2 linked regions of the Saccharomyces cerevisiae S288C genome follow. The gene in region 1 interacts genetically with each later gene. Each region holds a gene or a part of one and is shown on either strand. Other genes may lie near its edges.

Region 1 (4,079 bases):
TCAGACGCGCAAAGTAATCTAGGATCTAACGTTAGAAATTCTTTTCCGCTGGATGAAATTCCCGTTGATGTGGACTTTAACCTGGACTTAGATGATATAGTGAGCCATCAGGGGACACCTTTAGGCTCTCACTCAAGTTCACAGAAGGATGGAAACGATTTCAAGTTTAATTATCAAGGAGATGAATTGGTGTTGAATTTTGAGAACGATAATGAAAATAACAGTAATGGAGGAGAAGATACATCAGTTGAAAATGAAGGGCCGGTAGCCAATCTCAAAGACTACGAATTGGGGTTAGAAGCGCAGGCTTCTGAAGAAGAAAACGATCTTCAACAGAAACTTAACACCAGAATGCAAAGAGGACATCGCGCCGATGTAGGTGGGCAATTTTCTAAGGTACAATTTGATGCCAAAACGAGTTATCCAAATGAAGTTCTCAAATTCAACCATGGAAATTACAGTCACTTAATGGAAAAAAACAGGATTAGAAAACTAACCGGCCAAAATTTTCTCACCTCTAACATAAGTAGTTTGGTAAGGTCATGTGGTGAGGAAGAATTTTTTTCAACAAATTGGTTAAGTATATTTAACGACTTTTCCAATATAAAGACTAGCGAATGGGACTTATATCCCCAAGGTTTTAGTTCAGTTGAAAGAGGGAGAAAAAGAGCACATTCTTTAGTATCAACCCAAAGCTCAAGTAGTACCAGAAGTCACGAATATGGTAGGAAAAGTTTTCGCAATAATAAGAACGATAATTATTCTTCCGATATGGAAAATGATAATTTACTTTTAAACCTTGAACAAATTAATGAGGATTTGGAAGATGGGCACTATATTGAAGAAAACTCTCAAGGTAACATCCTAGATTTTAATTTGAATCTACCTCCTTCAAGTTTTGGAAGAAGTCATACCAGAAACTCAACCAGGTCTAGTGGTTTCAATGAAGATATAGTTGGTGCTCTCAGAAGGAGAGTCGGGCCATCTGAACAGAATTTTGCCGAGGAAGACGATTCCAGCAACAGTTGTTTTTCTGATGGCTCTCAGCAAAATTTGCAGCAGGACAAAACAAATTTTCAAGACGTCATTCTGGATTATCAAACTAAAAAATTCTACGATTACATCAAAGAAAGATCAATTGTTGTCGGAAGAACAACGCGCTCCAATCCGCCTTTCAAGAGAAAGATGCTGTTGGTTGACATCATCCCAAGCCGCATGGGCGAAGCTCAAACGGGAGCTAACTTTGATGATGTAGAAAGAGGTGTCAGCAGACAGATAGCCGCCAGTGCCTTCCTATCCTTACTGAATTTGGCTACGAAAGGGATGGTCAAGTTGAACGAATATCCTGTTGCAGATGCGGTAACTAAAGATCTTAAACTGAGAAGAGAGGACGAAATAATTGTATATGCCTGAATTTTTATTTTCTCCTTCCATATGAGCGACAGCGGTTACTAGCCGCTGTCCTCAGGTTAATGATCCAAGTCCGAGATCCGGGCCGAATATGCTTGCGGGGAAAGAAATAAAAGTGCATTGGAGAAGAAAAGGATATGCTCTTCAATTAGAAGCGCCGAAACACTAACATCATGCTAGCGATATCATACGTACACTATATAATGTAAAAAATGGGCTTAAGAATAACTCTCTTATTTCTTAACTTTTGTTGCGGTTGAAGAGCTTATAAAAGTACTAGTGGCCTAAAGAAGCTACAGCGCCGATAATAATATCGATTTCGACTTTTCTAGTATTTCGCCGATGATTACAATGATTAACAACAAAACTTTCAATAGAAAAACTACGGGAACACTGAAGAAGCTGGTTTTGTCATCAGACAAGTCACTGCGAAGATCTTTCAACGGGGCAAGCAGTACTAAAGACTTCGTGTTCTCGGAATCAAGTAAAGTAGAAGAATGGTGGGAATCAGCCAGATTTAAGAATATCAGTCGTCCATACTCAGCTACGGATGTTGTAAAGCATCGGGGCAGCCTTCCTGCTAATACTTCAATTTATCCTTCATCTTATCAAGCTCGAAAGCTGTTCAACTTACTAGAAGAGAATTTCAAGAATGGTACTCCACTTCACACGTTGGGAGTTATCGATCCTGTACAAATGAGTCAGTTGGCCCGTTGCAGAAATATCAAAGTTGCTTACATATCTGGTTGGGCTTGTTCTTCCACATTAGTTGGATCTACAAATGAAGTATCGCCGGATTTTGGCGATTATCCATACGATACTGTGCCGAATCAAGTGGAGAGAATATTCAAGGCGCAGCAATTGCACGATCGAAAGGCTTTCTTGGAGGCCTCCATCAAAGGTTCTACTCCTGTTGATTATTTAAAACCAATTATCGCGGACGCAGACATGGGTCACGGTGGCCCAACGACTGTAATGAAAGTTGCTAAGTTGTTTGCGGAGAAAGGGGCTGCTGGTATTCATCTTGAAGATCAGATGGTGGGAGGCAAAAGGTGTGGCCATCTAAGTGGGGCTGTTTTGGTGCCCACAGCAACACATCTTATGAGATTGATTTCCACCAGGTTTCAATGGGATATCATGGGGACAGAAAATTTGGTTATTGCAAGAACAGATTCCTGTAATGGTAAGCTGTTGAGTTCAAGCAGTGATCCGAGAGACCACGAATTCATTAGGGGTATAATAAGAGATAACGTGGTGCCTTGGAGCGAAAAATTGATTGAGATGGAGGACAAAAAAATTCCCAACTCCGCCATTGCTGACATGGAAAAAGAATGGTACCATGAAAATGAGCTGTTTACATTTGAAGAGGCCTTAGAAAAGCAGTTTACGGCAAGCGAGTTTGAAAGCTATAAAGAAAAGAAGGAAGACCTTATGGTAAACAAGCTGGGTAGAGCATACCTAAGCTTAAGAGAAATGAAACTTTTAGCTCAAGAAGTGACACCACTAAAGAAAATTATATTTGACTGGGATGCTCCGAGGACCAAAGAGGGATATTACATGTTTAACGGTTGTATTGAAGCAGCTATTAGAAGATCTTTGGTGTTTGCCCCATATTCTGATATGATTTGGCTGGAAACGAAAACTCCTGACCTGGAGCAGGCACGCTCATTTTCAAGAAAAATTCATAAACAACTTCCAGCTACCAAGCTAGTATATAACTTATCTCCTAGTTTCAATTGGAGCGCTCACGGCTTTGATGATAAGGCATTAAAATCCTTCGTATGGGACTTGGCAAAAGAAGGCTTCACGTTGCAACTGGTTTCCCTTGCCGGTCTGCATTCAGATGGAGTATCATTCTGGGAATTAGCCAATAGCTTCCAAAGTGACGGAATGAAAGCATACGTCGAAAAAGTGCAAAAACGGGAAAAGGAGACTAATTGTGATATCATGACACACCAGCTATGGTCTGGTGCAGAATATGTTGATTCCTTAATGAAAGTTGTCCAAAACGGTGCTTCATCCCAAACTTTAAGTACATCTGGTGAGAGCTTTACCGAAACGCAATTTTGAATACGCTTCAAGAAGATAAAAGTATAAATAATACATATTGCCAGCAACTTAGTCACATATCTCTTTTATCTCTATTTATCCTCTTTTTATTAATTTATGACCACGATCACTATATTTAGTTCGAAAGTTAGTGTTTGTTTTGCCAAGATATCCTCGCAGAAACAGTTTTACTTAAAGTTTCAGGTGTTGCGTGGAATGCCCCTGCTAAGCTGTCGTGTCGCGCTCTTCCCCGCGTTTGTTTCACATTATATATCATATGGCGTATGACGGTATGGGTGAAAATAAGCGTAGGCTGGTTGTGTGTATTTCTCTCGCACTTTGAAAGGGAAAAATAAAAATAGAGTCTATTAGGAAGCTCACATATGCCGGGAAAAATTACGTAAAGCATCAAAAGGGAAAGAAAATATAGGGAAAGATAAAACAAAAAGCAGAACGGTATCAGGCATTCTTGTTTTAGCCTTTATGTACGATATGGCGTTTATTATGGAGAATATTGAGGTATTCAACTATTTAATACTTGCTATAAATTCTGCCAAACTACTAATCATTCCGTTTATATAACTCAAGAAAAGAGAAATACAGAAACAAATAGATCAGAT
Region 2 (4,615 bases), on another chromosome or scaffold:
GTAGGAATAACTTGTATTCGTTAGCAAGCCATTTAAAAAAAAAAAATTTGGCAACAGAGGTTGAAGTTGTCGCCAAAGCTCGCGTTCCAATCATCAAGTTTGTTGAGCCACATTCAGGGATCCACATAGATGTTTCATTTGAGAGAACAAATGGTATTGAAGCAGCAAAGCTTATTAGAGAGTGGTTGGACGATACCCCCGGCCTGAGAGAATTAGTCCTTATCGTAAAACAATTCCTACACGCAAGAAGACTAAATAATGTGCATACCGGTGGTCTTGGTGGGTTTAGTATTATATGTCTTGTCTTTTCCTTTTTGCATATGCACCCACGTATAATAACTAACGAAATAGATCCAAAGGACAACTTGGGTGTGCTCCTGATAGAGTTTTTTGAACTTTATGGGAAAAATTTTGGTTATGATGATGTTGCACTGGGATCATCGGATGGATATCCAGTATACTTTCCAAAATCGACATGGAGTGCTATTCAGCCTATTAAAAATCCATTTTCATTGGCCATTCAAGATCCAGGTGATGAATCAAATAACATCAGTCGAGGGTCCTTTAACATTCGAGATATTAAAAAGGCATTTGCTGGTGCTTTTGATCTGTTGACGAATAGATGTTTTGAATTACATTCAGCAACTTTTAAGGATCGATTGGGGAAAAGTATATTGGGAAACGTGATCAAATATCGTGGAAAGGCAAGAGATTTCAAGGATGAAAGAGGTCTAGTACTGAATAAGGCTATTATTGAAAATGAAAACTATCACAAGAAACGTAGCAGAATAATTCATGATGAAGATTTTGCCGAAGATACAGTTACCTCCACAGCCACCGCTACCACAACAGATGATGATTATGAAATAACGAACCCACCTGCTAAGAAGGCTAAAATAGAAGAAAAACCTGAAAGTGAACCGGCCAAGAGAAATAGTGGAGAGACATATATCACTGTCTCTAGCGAAGATGATGATGAAGATGGATATAATCCTTATACCCTTTAATATGTGCCTTTTTGTTTAAATGATGCACTGAACTGTACATCACTGTGTACCTGGATAGAATGTGTGTTTAAATATGCGTATTATGTATTAATAATTGAATTTAATTTTACTTCTGTTTTTCTTTTTATCGCTGTGAACTTTTTTGTCAAGAAGTCGCTCTTTGTTGGCTTTCTCTTTTATTTTATTCCATTTCTTTGAGGTCTCAGCAGTGGTATCATTAGGAAATTGGCACGTTTGCCGAATTTCTTGAACCAACTTCTCGAAGCATTTTAATTTGTTGGTTTCCCTTGACCTAGTTTCATCAGATTGAATTACTATAGAATCGCTGCCCTTAGCGTAGTATCGAAACCTGCCGCTACTTAAGATGTTTCTCACTTCCTGAGGAATCCAAGCACAGTTTGATAAACCAGAAAGTGTCAAAGTACATTTACTATTTACCTTATTAACGTTTTGGCCTCCTGGCCCGCTGGCTCTATCGTAACGTAAAATAAATTGATTTAAGGGCAAGCCCGTTACGTTAAGTGCTCCTACCCAGTTTCTTGCCTGGACGAAGTCAGATTTCTTTCCGATCTTTTTATTACTAATCAATCTGACTGCCTCTTCAACGAACTGTTGTTTCTTGCAGTGCAACATTGGTTGAAGTACAAACAGAGGGGAGCGCCCAGTAAGTTTAAACTTTCCCATCAATGTTGTCATATGATATTTCTTGGCGTGTTTCCCTTCAATTTACTGAAAGGCAAACAGTAATGTTAAGGATTCTGTTGTTTTTTTTTACCGTATACGCTTGATTTCGTCAGCCCCTTGGAAGACACGAAATGTTGACTATCCGCTTCCAGATCTGGTAAAAGATTGATTTGCGATAATTCCTGTTGTTGTCATCACGGGTGTTATGGTTTGTTGTAAACTAAAAAAAGAATGAAGGAACAGGACGCAGATTCATCTAATCAAGTTCTGTGGGGAGGTCCCCAGTGGTAAGTGAATAAATATTCGCTTTATGAAGACCTACACCTGGTTTTCTCAATGGATCAGACGATAAGTACAATTTTTGTAGAGCTATACTCGAGGACAATCAGACAAAACGAAAGAATATCTTTCGATGAAGGGCGTAAAAAAGGAAGGATGGATATCTTATAAAGTTGATGGATTGTTTTCGTTCTTATGGCAAAAGAGATACTTGGTACTGAATGATTCGTATTTAGCATTTTACAAAAGTGATAAGTGCAATGAGGAACCAGTCTTATCTGTGCCTTTGACTAGTATAACAAATGTTAGCAGAATACAATTGAAACAAAATTGTTTTGAGATTCTTCGGGCAACAGATCAAAAAGAGAACATATCCCCCATAAACTCCTACTTTTATGAATCAAATTCCAAAAGATCGATATTCATTTCCACAAGAACCGAACGGGATTTGCATGGCTGGCTTGATGCCATTTTTGCCAAATGTCCTCTCCTTAGTGGTGTTTCATCACCAACAAATTTTACACACAAAGTACACGTTGGGTTCGACCCAAAAGTGGGAAACTTTGTTGGAGTACCTGATAGTTGGGCTAAACTACTACAAACCTCAGAAATTACGTACGACGATTGGAACAGAAACTCAAAAGCTGTTATTAAAGCACTGCAATTTTATGAAGATTACAATGGACTGGACACAATGCAATTCAATGATCACCTCAACACAAGCTTAGACTTGAAACCTTTAAAAAGTCCGACAAGGTATATTATAAACAAGAGGACTAATTCCATCAAGAGATCAGTAAGTAGGACGCTCCGAAAAGGCAAAACAGATTCCATTTTACCCGTCTATCAATCAGAACTTAAACCATTCCCAAGGCCTAGTGATGATGATTATAAGTTTACCAACATAGAGGACAATAAAGTACGCGAAGAAGGCAGGGTGCATGTTAGTAAAGAAAGCACGGCAGATTCCCAGACAAAGCAGTTAGGAAAGAAGGAACAGAAAGTCATTCAAAGCCATCTGCGAAGGCATGATAATAATTCAACATTTAGACCTCATCGACTAGCACCATCTGCACCTGCTACAAAAAATCATGATAGTAAAACTAAATGGCATAAGGAGGATCTCCTTGAACTTAAGAATAATGATGATTCGAATGAAATAATAATGAAGATGAAAACTGTTGCAATTGATGTAAACCCAAGACCGTATTTCCAACTGGTAGAAAAGGCTGGTCAAGGAGCAAGTGGTGCAGTATACCTGTCAAAGCGAATAAAATTACCTCAAGAAAATGACCCGAGATTCTTGAAATCACATTGCCACCGAGTCGTAGGCGAAAGAGTGGCCATTAAGCAGATACGTTTATCTGAACAACCAAAGAAACAATTGATTATGAATGAACTCCTAGTGATGAATGATTCGCGCCAAGAAAATATCGTTAATTTCCTTGAAGCCTATATTATTGATGACGAAGAGTTATGGGTGATAATGGAGTACATGGAAGGTGGCTGCTTAACAGATATATTGGATGCTGTAGCAAGGAGCAATACCGGTGAGCACTCATCGCCGTTAAACGAAAACCAAATGGCATATATAGTAAAAGAGACGTGCCAAGGTTTGAAGTTTTTGCATAACAAGAAAATTATCCATCGAGATATCAAATCTGATAATATCCTTCTGAATTCCCAAGGGTTAGTGAAAATTACAGACTTCGGTTTTTGTGTGGAATTAACAGAAAAAAGAAGCAAGCGTGCCACAATGGTAGGTACTCCATATTGGATGGCACCTGAAATAGTGAATCAAAAGGGATATGATGAAAAAGTCGACGTTTGGTCTCTAGGGATAATGCTTATTGAGATGATAGAAGGTGAACCGCCTTACCTAAATGAGGATCCTTTGAAGGCGCTGTATCTGATAGCTAACAACGGTTCACCAAAATTGCGTCATCCAGAGTCAGTGTCCAAGCAAACCAAACAATTCTTAGATGCCTGTTTGCAAGTGAATGTCGAATCAAGAGCATCCGTGAGAAAACTACTAACGTTTGAATTTTTGTCAATGGCATGCAGCCCTGAGCAGCTCAAAGTATCCTTAAAGTGGCATTGAAATTTAGCTTTTTTTTATTTAGGAGAAACAATATATATATATATGTATATACGTATGTATGATTCATATTTTAATCGCATTTTTATTTCATCTAAAACAATTACTCTTTTTGATTATTTATAGAAAAAAAACAACAATGATACGTTTGCTTCGCGTTATGTCAATAGAAAATGTAAAAGGAAAAAGAATGTGTTGCTATTCGTTAGGCGGATTTACGGATGGAAGACATATCTATGAACTGAGCTTACAAACGCTTTTAGCGGGGACAGTTAATCATTTTACGGATGATTTTATAAGAATAAACTATTTTTGAAAAGTTAGGATAGTATTTTGTACATTTGGCACCGAAGTAATTCAAAATCGAGGAAGACTCGCACACTTTTACAATCACAGAAGGCAAAACCCGGCATGACAGGATGATAATGTCATCAACTATGTCGACAGAAGCCGCCTTGGTACCGAACGAAAGTGTTTTTGACACAGTTTCGTCATTCAACGAAGACGATGCCAATTATAGCGTTCTTGATTTATACGATGACGACGA

Evidence for each region.
Region 2: mutations in ICL2 (region 1) and SKM1 together harm fitness more than expected from each alone (negative genetic interaction), as found in Saccharomyces cerevisiae (2 studies listed by BioGRID).

The regions. Positions count from the first base shown.
Region 1 is NC_001148.4:566,670-570,748, reverse strand, and holds ICL2 (methylisocitrate lyase ICL2), read left to right. Parts: upstream 1-1,752; coding exon 1,753-3,480; downstream 3,481-4,079. Other genes in the region: REC8 (Rec8p), read left to right, coding at 1-1,413; HAL1 (Hal1p), read left to right, coding at 4,078-4,079. UniProt on the Saccharomyces cerevisiae protein: Catalyzes the formation of pyruvate and succinate from 2-methylisocitrate during the metabolism of endogenous propionyl-CoA. Does not act on isocitrate.
Region 2 is NC_001147.6:102,223-106,837, forward strand, and holds SKM1 (putative serine/threonine protein kinase SKM1), read left to right. Parts: upstream 1-2,103; coding exon 2,104-4,071; downstream 4,072-4,615. Other genes in the region: non-canonical poly(A) polymerase PAP2, read left to right, coding at 1-1,007; PTH4 (Pth4p), read right to left, coding at 1,095-1,703; Rab GTPase-activating protein MSB4, read left to right, coding at 4,488-4,615. UniProt on the Saccharomyces cerevisiae protein: May be involved in cellular signaling or cytoskeletal functions. May play a role in morphogenetic control.